Linked DNA regions of Lonchura striata. The protein of the gene in region 1 interacts with the protein of each later gene in a pairwise test. Links are inferred from orthologs where the notes say so. Each region holds a gene or a part of one and is shown in the gene's direction. Other genes may lie near its edges.

Region 1 (7,134 bases):
TTGTATGTCCTTTATTTTTTTTCTACCATGCAGTGCCATCTCTGACTTTTGCACCACTGTTGCCATTTATGTTGATTAGAGGATGATTATTTGGGAGAATCCTATTTACCTCTACACAAACACTAATCTGAATGTAGGCTTCACATTTCAATTATGGGCTGCAAATGACATCTTTTTCCCCACAATATCTACTGGTGTCTGCTGAAAATTAAAAGCCTTTATGTAGCACAGCCAATCAGAGAATCATCACAGAACCTTCTGGGTTTCAAAGTACATTAAAGATCATCCTGCTGTGGGCATCTTCCATTAGACAAAGTTGCTGAAAGCTCCATCCTACCTGGCCTTGATCACTGTGAGGGAGGGGCACCCACAACTTCTCTGGGCAACATGTTTTAGTGCCTCACCACCAACATAGTAAAAAAAAAAAAAAAAAAAAATCACCTAATATCTCATCTAAACCTGTCCTCTTTCATTTTAAAGCCTTTATCCCTTGTCCTATCACTACATGCTCTTGCAAAGTGACTCTGCTCTCGTGTAGGCCCCCTTTAGGTACTTGGGACACCTCTGCTTCCAGATTGTGGTGGCCAGGCTCTGACTCTGGAGCCAAGCGATGTCCAAAGTAGCTCTTGTGCCTTGCAGTGGCAGCACCTCATAAATTTAACTCCTGGCAGCAAGAGAAATCAACAGAGTTAAACACAGTGTGTCTGGGTTGAACTCACACCCAACACCAAATCCCTCCCATGGTCTTGCCACAATGGAGCAGCCGGATCCCTGGGGTGCTGCTGTCCTCTCAGGCTCTTCCCCTTGGTCTTCCTCCCTGGGAGACACCTAGCCTGTGGTTCACAGCCTATTGAAAACCCTGTTGCCTTGTTTTGGGCTGTGAAGGTTGGCCAGCCTATTCTAGTCGAAACAAAAGGGATTGCGTCTTTGAATCACAGGCTCCTGGTGTCTGAAAAGCTGCTTACTAATACTTCATTATTATTAAAAGATTTCATTCTTTAAAATTGAACGTTGGGCTCCTTGCCTAAAGTTCTTACGTGTAGCATCTAGCATAACCCTTTGGTTAATTTCCAACCCAAACATGGGATTGACAGCATTTGGTTATTTTCCATGTGTCACTGGATGGGGAGAAAGGCTTTGTGTTTTGAATGGCTGGTATTTCACAACGGGATTCAGGTATGAGCTGGGAAAAGCCTGCCTCACCCTCAGCCGCTCTGCTCTTTGTTGCCCTAATTAAAGTTTACTCTGGTAACCTAGGGAATGAATTAAGAAACAAACCTCAACCAGTCTCACTTGTTCACTTGTGCAACGGTGTCCTTAGAAATTCACAGGGAAGATGTAAAAACACAGTACGATAGAGATGTAATTTTGTACATGAGCCCCTGTGTGTCTCTGATTGCATTTCTCAACCTGGTATTTTCCTTAAGGTACTTGGTTTCCCAGCTTCTGAAAGCACAGTGTTGGTCTGGAGAAAGGATTTTGGTAGGTTTTCAAAAGGACTGGAATATCAAATCATGTAGTGTATATAATCATGGGAAGTTCCTTTTCTCTAACCTTACAAGGCTTGAAGATTTTATGTTATACTTCATTGTGCAACACAAGAAAAGTACCTCAGGAACAGAAATGTCTTTTATTCCACTCCCCATGTATCTGATGCTTTATTCCCTCAGGCACTACTTGTTTGCCAAAGGATTGTTTAACCACTGTTTGACAATTTCCAAATGGGAAAAAATGCTGGCTTTCATCCAAAGGAAGGGAGGAGCTTTTTGAAGTTTTGTATTTAATCTTCGTTAAAAGTAAACAACGTTACCCTTTCGACATTAGTCATGCCCGTTGTATAAAGAATGGTGTAAAAGTGCTCAGCAAAGGAGCACAACATTTTTCCATACTTTGTAATTACTCATATTTGCATTGGGGATTGAATTGGATCAAATAACTGGCTGGATAAGGTGTATGGCAGGAGGTGAACATCACAGCGGGATAACTGGGTGAGCTGGGTGGTGAAGGTAGTGGGAGAAGCAGCACAGCTCCCTGCAGGAGACAGGTAGCTGGAGCAACCATCAGTCCACATGCTGCACCCACACACGCATACCCGGAGCAGGCAGTGTTTTCTGCTGGTGGATATTTTGCAAGGATTAACGTGTCTTTACCGAAGGAGGCATGGGGGGGCACGGGGAAACAACACCTGCCCCACCACACAAACTATGGAAAGAGGCATGGCTGTGCAGTCAGGCCTTTTGCTAGGGACACAGCTTGCACCTCGATACGGGGGCTTTCCCTCCCCAGCAAACTCCTCTGAACAGAAAAAATACAACTCTCCTGAAAGCAAATACTGTATATCCGGGGAAAACACCTTCTGCCGGTGAAAGGTGTCCGCCAGCAGCGCCAACAAGCCCCGGGTACAAAGCCAGTGCGAGGGCGACAGCAGACAGGGGGCAATAGCCGGCGGGGCCCGGGGGACGCGGCGCCCGGGGCTGAGCCGGGGGAGGCTCGGGGAGCGCGGCCGGGAACGGCGGGGAGGCGGCGGGCTCTGCCTGAGCCGTGCCCCCGCTCCCCGGCCACTTGTGCCTTCCTGGGGAAAGAAGGGCAACTCCGGAAAGAAGGGCAACTCCAGAAGCCGGCAGGAGTGCCCGTCCAGGCAAGAGCAAGGCTCCGATCGCTAGCTCCTATCGCGCTCCAACACACCACACCGCCTTCTCTCTTACTGGTCACTTTGCAGGAAGAGTATTAAAGAAAAAAAAAAAAAAAGGCAAAATAGGGAATAAAAAGAATGACCTACTTTGAAACAAGAAAAAAAAAAAAAAAAAAAGCGCTCTCTGTCAAGGTTTTGCTCCAATTGCCTGTGCGCCGTTGCATAACCAGATCGGGAGCTCCTGTCTGTGCCCGGCGAGGCCGTGAGCCTGCCCCGGGCAGCGCGGTGCCGTGCCCCGCTCCGGCCCGGTTCCCGCTGCCAGCACCGCCGGGACAGCGGGCACGGACAGGGCGCAGGACCCCCCTCGGCGCGGAGGCCGAGCTGGGAGCGTGTCCCGAGCCCGCCGGGCGGAGCCGCGCAGGGTCCCGCCGATCGCCCCGGCAGCCAGGGCCGGGCACCGGGCGCAGTCCGGCCAGCGGGGCCGGCGGTGCCGCCGGGGGCTCCCGGGGTCAGGCTACCGAGGCGTCCGCCGGTGCGCAGCGGGGATATCGCTACAGACATATGTAAACGTGGGCACGCCGGGGTTCGCTCGCGGCGGCGGTGTGAAACCATCCTTGATGCGGGGCTGGCTCTTTGGTTGAGGATTTTTTTTCCCCTGCTTCCCCTTTCGTTCTCTTTCCAGCTTCTCCTTTTCTTGGATCCTCGCCTGTCTCCTCCCACAGAACGAGAGAGAGAGAGAGAAAAAAAAAAAGGTCACGTATGTTTGGAAAAATATGTAGGTCAGTGGAACATTCCCTGCACTTGTGCACAGGAGCTGGGGCGGGAGAGCTCCTCCGCAGCCCTCTCGCTACCCACCGCCCCAGCCCGGCCCTCCCGGCGCCCACCGCGGGTAGGGGGGCGCCTAGCGCCGGGGTCCCTTTCCCCCTCCCTGACCCATTTTGAGCAACAACCGCGCGTTCGGGCTCCCCCTGGCCCCCACTCCCCCCAGCTCCCCCCGCTCCCTGCCGGAGAAGGCTACGAGCGGCGGAGGAAAGCGGCACGGGAGATCCTCTGCCGCCGGCGCCGCGGCTGCGCCCATGGGCGCGGGGCGCGGGGCGCGCCCCCGCAGCGCCGCCCGCTGAGGGCGCGGGGCGGCGGCCCCGCGGCGGGGGCAGGCGAGGGGAGGCGGCGGCGGGCGGCGATGAAGGGCCGGCGGAGAGGATGCCCCCGCCTCGCCCGCCGGGCTCCAACTTCGCGGAGAACTATCGGCCCCGCAGCCCCCGCGCCCGCCCTGCCTCTCCAGGCCGCGCGTCCAACTTAATGCCCCAGCAGGAGCCCCAGCCAGCAGCCCCCCCGGCCTCCGGCCTCCGCACTCCCCCGCAGCAGCCCGGGCTCCCGGCGGCCTCCCGGTGCCGGCGGAGCCCCCGGCCCCGGCGCGCGTGGGTCCCGCGGCGCCCGGGGCGGCGGCAGAGCGGCATGCGGCGGCCCCGCGCACCATGAGACAGGGCACCGGCACCGGCGGCAGGCAGGAGGCGGGCAGCGTCCCCGGCTCCTCGTCGGCGAGGAAGAGTTTGCCGGCTCCCGAGGCCGGCCTCCTGCGCGGCTGGAGCAGCGGCGGCCGCTGCCGCAACGGCACCGGGAGGCACCGGAAAAGCGGCGGCATCCAGCTCGGCGGCACCAGCACCGGCGGCGGTTCCCGCGCCCAGGTGGCCACCGCGGACAGCAGCAGCAGCGGCGGCGGCGGCGGCTGGGGCTTCCCCGCCGCGCTCCCGCAGCACCGGCACCCCAGGTAACGCGCGGCCGTGCGGCCCCGACCCCTGCCTCCGTCCCGGGGGGCGCCCACTCGCGACACCCGCCCGGGGGGCGCCCGCCGGGGACACCCACGCGGGATGGTCGGCCAGCGTGACCCCCGCGGCGGCGGCCGGGGTCAGCTCCGCGGTGCCCCCCGCTCTGTGGGGGTCACGGACGCGCCCGGTGGTGCGGGGTGGCATGGCTCTGCCGCGGGAAAGTTTCCGTGGGGAGCACGCTTATGTGCGGCGTGTCTGTCCCGGCCGGGCTGGCGAGGTCCGGCCGGGCGAGCCCCTCCGTTTGGAAAATAAGTTGCCCCCTAAGCAGTCCTCCTCGCCATCTCGTTTTGGTGTGGTTGGACATTTCCTGACTTTGGGGGTTCCTATAAGCCAGACAGCAACAGGGTCTGCGATGCGACCGGGCGGGTGTTTGCTCAAGGAAAACTTCCAGTAGGAGCAGTGGGGATTTGGAATGGGTGAAAGCTCCTGGGGGGAGCAGAGGTTGTGCCGTGCGCTGGGAGAGCCCTGCTGCTGCAGCAGCCCTGCGCAGAACTCCCTTCCCGCGTGTTTGCATCCGTGTGTGGCACGGGGTAAACCTTAAATACACGGCTGAACGGCACCACCGGATTCACACGGGGTTGTGCCGTGGTGTTTTCCTCTGTGGTCACTACCTTGATTTGTCAATTAACAAGCACGCTCATCCAGAAACTTTGCTCCCTACTCCTTAGCTGTCTACAGGATGGCAGCTTACTTTCACTCAAGTGACTCAGAAATAATTAGCGGTTATAAGCGTTACAGCCAGCAGAGGAACTTGGATTTTTTCATGGCGCTAAACCTCCAGAAGGGCTGTAGGGATCTCTCGGATGGGCGCAGGCAACCTGAGCATTCAGTTCAACAAGTGGTTGCCTCTTGAAGTGGAAAATTATCTAATTTATCCCAGTGTGAGATGTTAATGCACTAAACTGTGGGTTTAATTTGTTTGGTGGTACTAAATAATTAGAGTTCACAGTGTCCAGACATAGCCAGCTCATCCACTGATGCACATCTGATTCTGAGAGCTGGTGGAGGGCCCAATACTGCATACATTTCAGTAGATGAATAAGAACACAGGGTTGCTCTGCAGAGATGCCCAGGAGTATTTGGAGAATGTGATTACCAAACTGCACATTCACTGAAGATGTGAAAATGAAGGTTTTCTAGAACTAGGTATGTGACATCAGGGTGATTCCTCAAGCTGGCAGCACTTGTGTGCTCCAAAGCCTGGGTCTTCAGTGAGCTTTCCTAAATTAGTTCTCCTTCATAAATAAAGGTGCCTTCCTGCACATTAGCAAGGTTGAATCCACAGAATTATGATTTTTTTTTTCCCAAATCTCTACACTGAAGCATGCAAGAGCCCTTGAAGGAGTTGTTTCTTTTTTCATAGGCAGCAATGTTGTCTACAGTTAAAATTAGCTAGTGCTTTCTAGTACAATGATCTGCTGTCAGGTGGTTATGCATTTCCTAAGCTTGAGCTTAGGCTGGTATTTTCCAGGATGAGTGCCTTCTGAAGGCAGACTGTCTTTGGGAAGTTTCAAATTAAATGGTTTGGTTATTTCTGAGAACGTGGTAAGACAAAAACTTGTTCTTTGACCACGTATTTGATGAAAATGGTTTAGGTATACATCCTGCATTAGGAGACCTTGATCTGGGAATCTGAATTTCTTTCACTGTGCTAAGAAACACTTTCCTTCAGATTTAAATTCTTGTGGCATCATGTTTTGGATCAAGGAAAAGATATTTTGCTTGGGATCATCTTGTGATGGGGGTGCGCATTTTGTTGATCCTCTGAGAATCTTCCAGAATTTCTTTCCAGTATAATTTTATCACAATGCTCCAGGCATGTGCTCTTGGGAGAGGACTTGTTGAGGGCTTGACTGTTGCACTTGCTTGAAGATGTTCTCAGCACAAGGCATGCTGAACATCCCAGCACTGTTAGGAGCTGAGCAACTGCTCCTCTTCCTGGGAAGGATGAGAGCATTCCAGTTGGTGGCTGATGGGCTGAATGGACTTTTCCCCCAATTACTCTTCCAAGGTGTTGCTTCTACAGTGAGTTCAGGAAGGAGAATAGAAGACTTTCTCAACTGTGCCTTCAGTGGCAGGGTGTGCCTGGTGATGCAGTGGAAGAGTGAAGCAGGAGACTGTTTAATTCACTTGAATGGTGACAAGAAATTGTGGTACTAGAACTGTCCCACTTTTGAGAAGTACTGGTGATGGATACATGGAGAAACTGAAGACAAGAGAATAGAGACAAAGGATTTGTGGGATCATGGATGACAAATCTTGGGAACAAGGTGCAGGGAACTGTAGATACAGGTGGTAAACCCACGCCAAGAGAAGGAATGGTGGAAAGGAGGAACTTGACACTTGTGTACAGGGACAGGAGACCTGAACATCCGGAAACACAGTGGTTTCCATTCTTTCAATAACCAGGACATGGTACTACTGCTTTTTCATCATTTTCCTCCCCACACTGCCTGCTCTGTGTTTCAGCCCCTGCCTCTGCTTATTTGTCTCTTCCCTGGATTGGTAAATGTCACACAGTTAAAAATAACAGCCAAATACACATTTTATGTGCATTTAATTGCTTTTCTTTCTGTGTTAGATGAACTTAGGTAACTTCCATTTGTGTTTTTAGTTTTGTGTCTAGGCTCTTAAGGGAGATGCACTTGAATTGCAGATTTTGCAGAAGGATCATTA
Region 2 (7,307 bases), on another chromosome or scaffold:
ATTCACTAAAATTTTCTTAAGATATTTACAGCTTACCATGTCTTGTTCGAGTTCAGACTTCCAGACCCTGAAATACACACTCAATTCCATATATTTTTAATTAAGTAAAAACTCTAAAGTGCTTTAACCTTCATTGAGGTCAAATCCAGGTAGAGATAGAAATTCTTTGTCCTGAACCTTCTGTAGAGATCAAAAATATATTGCAAAGAAGTACTTAGAATTTCTTAATTCCCTGGCTTTAGCCTGATTTACCTCCTCAGATTCTTCTTCCTGTTCCTGCTATGCTCCAGGCAGTGCATTGCCAATTCCTGGGAATTCCCACTGAGTCTTTGAATATTAATTTGTGTTCTCAGAGACCACAGGGCTGAAATCAATGGGCTGGATTAGAATCTTCTCCTTTTGCCTGAAACAAGCTTTTAGTCCTTTAAATTATGATAAAGGCCAGGAGGAAGAAGAATGGATTTTAAAAACCTCAGAAGGAAGCAGGCACATTAAAAAGTCAACATTTATTGCTGTATATTTAAGAAATTAATGCTCAAATGTGGAAACATTGTGGTAGGAGGGACACCCTTTAAAGCAGCAAGTGTTTATACAAGCAAAAGCAGGAAAACCCAATTTTCCCCTGGCTTAGATTTTGTATTAACTCAACATTTTGATGAACTGGGAAAAGAATGAGTCTGCAACAGCTTATTTTGATAAAACCTTTATTTTGAAGAGGTCTGAGCCAGCCACACAAGAGCTGTGACAGACTACAGTCAACAGGTCACCACTGTGTGATTTTTTGCATCAGTTTGCAAACAATCCAAGCCACTGTTTGCAGTTTTTTCTGCCCTCATAATTGGGTTGAAGCAAGGCACCAACTCTGTGTAACAGGGTGAGAAATAGGGCTCAGTAATCTCTGGGGTTTTTAATGTACAGACAGAACAAGAAATCCAGAGATTCAAATTCAGTCTCCATAATTTTCTCTGAGCTTTGACTTGCCCTGCTGTAGGTAAGATCATAGCTTATATGTCTAGAGAGAAATGGAGAAAGGTTGGATAAAAGAGTAAGACAGGTTAATTAATCAGTATTAATCAGTATTTCCATGGCTGGAAACCTATGAACAAACAGCATCTGCTTAAAATGCTCTAAAGCAGTGGGATCCATAGCTAGGTGCTAAAATAGATATCCTATCTTGCACATGTTTTGGAAAACATTAAAAAAATAAACACATATAATTCTTCTATCTCCAAACCATTTCACAAAATTTCACCCTCCAAAGACTCAGAGATCTGTGTCCTCTGTGTCATGTACTGGGGTCATGAAGCATGGTTGAGAGAATACAAAGTTAATACATCAAAGAACTAATTTGGCTGGTTACTTCTGAACATCTGTAGGTGTTCCAGAGATATATCAAGACTGCTTGAAGGTAACCCCTGCCCAAAAAAATAAATCCAAACAGAAAAGAAACTATCGGTTTTTGGGTTATCAGTTGAGAAACCAGATTCCTTTTTCTGCAGGGAAATAGTTATAGATTTAAACACTTGCAGATTCTAAAGTGAAACTGCTGATATGGCCTTATCATACCTTAGGTAGGCTGCATTTAATGGCGATCGTATCTGCCACTCTTCTTGACACAAAGTCAAAATCCTAAGACCTGCAAAGTTTTATTGTAGCATTCAAATGTGAATACAGTAATCAGTTGGAACATGAGCTACTTTTTCCACTATTCTATTAATAAACAACAATTTTCAGTACAATTGCCACATAGCACACCCTCTTTCTGCTTTTAAATTGTCATTGTAAGCCAATCATGAGTGTAAATGTTGGTGTTTAAACATGATGTAACCATTAACATATTAACATAGCTAAGGAGGCAGTTAACGTTCTGCCTAAGATCTAATTTACTGCATTCTTAGAAAGAAAAAGCATAAAATCTGAAAATTAATCATGTGAGAGTTGTCTAGATGAGGAAATGCTTCTGATCTTGTATCAGACACACCAGTGCACAGTGCCCTGAGCTGAGCACACAGCTGAGCTGGTCTGCCCAGCAGCTCCCACGATTTGTGGGGTGCTCTACTTCATGTGCTCCCTCAAGTACCTTGCAAGGAGAAAATGCTCCACCTTTGGTCAAGCCTCACCTCTCCTGTTTGCCTTTTGTCTCCTGAAACGTGTGGTAGAAGAGTGGTGCAAACTTTTTTGGTGTCAGGAGCTGAACTCAGGTCTTGTCAAATTTCAAATTCTTAGCTCCTCATTTTTAGAATTTCAAGGTATAAGATGCCTGATTCACCTACAGATAGAATGCCTGCACTGACCTGACAATCTATTTCAAAGAAAGTCACAGAACTAGACTGATATACATCATCATATGGTGAAATTCGGAATTTGATTAACCAGATGCTATTATTTTCTTTAATATCTCATGAATAGAAACTACGGTGTAAAAACAACTCCAAACAATCTCTCACTGGGAAATCTGACATATGGCCTGCTAAGCTGCTCTCCTACAGAAATAGCAAAAGATCATTACTCTTGGCATCATTCCCTACAGCAGGCACTGGGCTCATTAAAACAGACACTACGCGATTGACTCCATAAGGAAGATTATTTCTACAGATGGGTAGAAACAATGAGCAAAACTACAAAGGCCGAGTTGAAAGAAGTAGTCAAGGAGACTTCTCCACCTCCATAACTTCTGTGCACTAAAACAAAGCAAAGCAGCACCATTTTGCTGGAAATAAGAAGATGCATCTTCTCCTCTCTGTTCACAGTATACATTTCCGTCCTACTGATGTAGTGTTTCATTTAACTCGCTCTTCTGGAGGGTTTCTGCCGAATAGGAGTACCCTGATGTGAACAGAGAGTTTGCATCCAGCAGGGGCCACTTGCTGCCAGTGTTTAGTCCCCACTCAATTAGGAGTAAAGGAGCTGTTAATGCTGTCCCGGGCTGAGCGATGGAGGATTGGGACAACCAAACCCACGCCGTGCCCCAACCCCGCTGCAACCCACACTTCCCCGGTGATGTTACCCTGGGAAACGTAAACCAAACCTCTGGGACGTGGCATCACAGGACAGGAAATGTTAACACAATTAGGATGTGGCAATGATAATCTGATGCAGCGCTCACGCAATCCCATTTAGCAAATGTATGCATTTGAAAGCAGCTCCGCTGTGATTATGTTCTTGCAACACATCCCCTCTACGCTGCTGCGTGGACTGTCTAAATTTAGACCAGAACATGGCGCAGTGGATGGCTCTACCACATTGCACCTCTGGCCTGGTGCACACGCAGAATGGAACAGGCTGTGAGCAGCTCCAGAGGCGACGCAGCATCAGTGACCAGGACATACATCGCACCCGGAGCATCAGTGGCAGGGACAGGCATGGCACTCAGCAGCTGGAGGACACGGGGGCTGAGGGACAGGGGCTGAAGGACACGGGGGCTGAAGGACACGGGGGCTGAAGGACACGGGGGCTGAGGGACAGGGGGGCTGAGGGACACGGGGGCTGAAGGACAGGGGACTGAAGGATATGGGGGCTGAAGGACACGGGGGCCAATGAACACGGGGGCTGATGAACACGGGAGCTGAGGGACAGGGGGCTGAGGGACAGGGGGGCTGAAGGACACGGGGGCTGAAGGACACGGGGGCTGAGGGACAGGGGGCTGAGGGACAGGGGACTGAAGGACACGGGGGCTGAAGGACACGGGGGCTGAGGGACACGGTAGCGGCCCTCTGGCAGGGCGGGTGGCGGGCAAAGGGCCGGTGAGCGCGGCGCAGAGAAGCGGACTCTCAGCGGACGGGAGGTGCCAGCACCGCACGGGCTCCCCGAGGCCCCGGGGCGGTGTGCGGGGCTGCGCCCGGGCCCCGCCGCCGAGGGACGGAAGGAGACGAGGCGCGGGCAGGGCGGCCACGCCGGGGCAGCGCCGCCATGACCTTCACACCTCGGCGCGTGACGTCACGGCCGCGGCTGACGTCACGCGGCGGTGACGCAGCGGCCCGGGCGAGCCCCGGCGGAGGGGCGGGCAGCGGGCGGTACCGCGGGCGGCGCCGCCGGGGGCAGCAGCGCGGGCGATGCCGAGCCGAGCCCTCCCCGCCGCCCCGGCCGCACCCGCCCCGAGAACCCCGCCGACCCCGCCGCCACCGCCACATCCGGGTCCCGGCGGCGCCCCCCGCCGAGGGGCGGGACCAGAGCCCGGAGCCGCGCTTCCGATTGGCCGGTGCCGCGGGGCCGCGCGGGGATTTGCCGGCGCTCGGGGGGGCGGGCGTTGCCCGCTCGGCGGCCGCCCATTGGGCGAGGCGGGCGCGGAGCCGCTCTGCCGTTGGCGGGCGGGCGCGTCCGGTGCGGGGCCGGGGGAGGGTGCCATTGGCTGGAAAGTAGGTTAGTGGTGCGCCGTCGGGTGGCAAGCCAGGCGGAAAGTAGGTCAGGGACGGGGGCTGCCTGCGCCGGGCGTGCGGCGCTGCCGGGGGGCCGCGACCCCCGCCCGCGCTCCCTTCGGCCGGGCGCGGCGCGGCGAGGGGCGCGCGGAGCCGCGGTGAGCGCCAGGGGCGGCGGGCGGGGGGCGTGAGGGGCAGCGCGGCCCCGGCGGAGCCGCCGCCCCCGGGGGCCGCGGGAGTCCCGGGAGGGGCCCGGGCCGGGCGATGGCGGCGGCGGGACCCCCCGGCGGCGGTGCCGGGCTGCGGAGCCGGGAGCCGGGAGCGAGGCGGGGGCCCCGTTACGGAGCGGCCCCGGGGCGGGCTGGCCCGGCGGTGTGGCGGCACCGCGGGGACGGGGCGGGCGGGCCCGGAGCCCTGTCAGAGCCGGGCCGGGGTCCCGCGGAGGGCAGGCGCGGCGGCGGGGGCGTGCCGGGCTGTGCCCTCTGCCCGGTGCGAGTCGCCCTCAGGGGTGGCGAGGCTCGGGCGGCCCTCACGGAGGGGACGGTGGCGCTTCCCCTGCCCGAGCGGGGTCTCGGCCGGCCGCTCCGGGATGGGGGCGGCCCCTGTGAGCGCCAGGAGGATGGCGGTGCTGGGGAATTCCCCGCTCGGTCCCGCCCGCGGGCAGGTGCCAGCCCCGCGGCCGGCGGCTGCTGGCGCCGCACGGAGCGTCCCGGGACGTGCCGGGGCTGTTCGCCCCGGGATCCCCGCATCCCGATCCCCCTCCGCTGCCCTGGCCGACACCTGTGTGCGAGGGGAAGGGAGGAACGGAGCACACCGGGAACACCGAGGCGCCTTCCCGAGATCGGGGATTTTGCGCTTGGGGAGGCAAGGGAATCTCTTTGCATTTTTAATTGCTGAGGTTTCTGTCACTCCGGTGTCTCGATTATAACAGTTTTGGGAAGATTTTTGTGCCTGAAAAACAACGGTGAAGGAACAAGTGGGTGTGTTTTCTTGCCTTGGAAGTAAATTTGCTTGCTGGAATTTCATAGCATTTCCTTAGTGTGTGAGGTAGAAAGGGTCAGCTGCAGAGTGTGTTCTAATCTCTTTTCAAAATTCAGCCTTTAAGTGTATTTTTTTTTTTTAAATTCTGGAACTTCAGCATTCAAAATATTATGTTTCTTTTTTTTAACACGCTCATATTAAAAGTACCTTTTCTTTTATTAAAAGGGCTCATTAAATGTGAGCGACTGATAGTACGCAGGCTGCAGCTGAGTCTGTAAGGGAGGAAAGAAAGAGTTTTGTTCCAATTAAGTATTAATTCCAGCTAACTGTCTCTGTAAACGGTCTTGCAGGAGGATGAGGTTAAACTCTGCCCTCTTCATAATGTATGTTTTGTATCCTCCAGGAATATGTAAATAGCTCTTTGAAGCATCAGGAACTACAGACCTCTCTCTGGTTACTGTAAACCACAGCTGCTTATTAAGGAAAAAGGCTTTACTCCTCCTGACCTCTGTGGGTTTGTGCTTCTCATGACCATTCCTGGATTTTTACCCCTGCTTGTAGAAATTGAGCGTGTAAAATAATCTACAGCCACAGCATTTCATTGGGGTTTTATGCTGTTTTATCCCAAATTCTCTTGCACGCTGTGCATTTCTGTTGTCTCTTTGGAGGCCAGCTGTGGTGTGTGGGGCTGTGAAGGATCAAGCTCTGTAAAAGAAGTTCTGTGGGAGAGCAGACAAGAGAGAAGCACCACAGAGAACGTGAAGCTGCCTGGTTTGGGTGTGGGGAAGCTAAGGTGGCTGGAGCTGGCATTCCACAATGCCAGAGCTGGAATTAGGGGCTGCTGCCACGTTCCTGTCACCATGTGCTCCCAAGAGACTCTCTGTGTTTGGGGACCCTTGCTAGGGATGTATTAGGAATGATGTATTAGTGATGTTTGTAGGGGGACTTTAAAGGAGATTTGTTTTTCTCCTTCAGATACCTGCTCTCAAAGATTATTTCGGGCACCCAGGAGTAAGAAGAGAGAGCATTTATTGGGTTTATTTGGTGGAGCTTGGGGTTGCACACAGTCCTTTGAAGCTGTGCAGGACTGATGGCAAAGCTGAGACCTGTGAGAGCTGCAGCCCTTGAGCTGCAGGTGAGGAAGGCAGATTTTCCAAGGGAATGGATATCAAGGATGCTGGAAATACCAGGAGATGTGCAGGTTATTTAGTTTACATGAGTACAGAAGTGCTGTTTCCGTGCTCAAATGTAACATTTTAAGCTGTTTTCAGCATGGGGCCTATTGCCTGTGTTGTTATACTTTGAGGGAGTTACAGGGAAACCTGAAGGAATACATTATTGTTAAGTGAAACAAAGTAAATTTGGTGCATCCTGTAGCGACTTTCAGTTCTGTAACCTGCAAGCTTTTCATTCTTAACCTTTACCGTCAGTTTTATCTATAGTTCTGTTTCTAAAAAAGGGCAGAAAAGTAGTAAAAGGCAGCTGCTTGTATCCCCAAGTGTTAGGAAGTTAGTTGTCTTCAATAAAAACTGTATAAAGGCATATCATAAGCAAATGACTGCAAAGAGAAGCCCAAAATAAATACATCTTTTTAATCTTGTGTAGCTTTTTGGTTCTCACTAAGTTTACAGAATGCAATATTTAAGCTTTCTCTATTTACTTTGATACAGTAAACATGTTTTGAAACTTTAATTTTTGGCTGTCATCATATTTTGAGAGCTTCAGCCTGAAATAATTGATTTTTATAAAGGCAGTCACTGACTGGATGATGCTGACTGGGAACTCAGTTACCAACTTTTGAGATTTGGTTATTGAACATTCTGCTTGATCAACCCACAGCAATGACGGTCTGTGTTTTGAAGGTGCTTGAAGATGAAAATGAGGTGGTTGATGGCATTTTCAAACCTGGTGAAAGAGCTTTCAGTGTCTCTAAGACACTGTAGGTAGATTTTGGGCAGTGGATTGATGATG

What was found. The genes of interacting proteins can lie anywhere in the genome.
Region 2: the proteins of NPAS2 (region 1) and BMAL1 interact in binary tests that used the Homo sapiens proteins (3 or more experiments, as listed by UniProt). The link is inferred for Lonchura striata from reciprocal best matches to the Homo sapiens genes NPAS2 and BMAL1.

What each region holds. Positions count from the first base shown.
Region 1 is NC_134604.1:87,286,329-87,293,462, forward strand, and holds the start of NPAS2 (neuronal PAS domain-containing protein 2), read left to right. Parts: upstream 1-4,104; 5' UTR 4,105-4,107; coding exon 4,108-4,400; intron 4,401-7,134. UniProt on the Homo sapiens protein: Transcriptional activator which forms a core component of the circadian clock.
Region 2 is NC_134608.1:58,750,196-58,757,502, forward strand, and holds the start of BMAL1 (basic helix-loop-helix ARNT-like protein 1), read left to right. Parts: upstream 1-4,281; 5' UTR 4,282-4,359; exon of another isoform or gene 4,360-4,401; intron 4,402-4,447; exon of another isoform or gene 4,448-4,513; intron 4,514-7,307. UniProt on the Homo sapiens protein: Transcriptional activator which forms a core component of the circadian clock.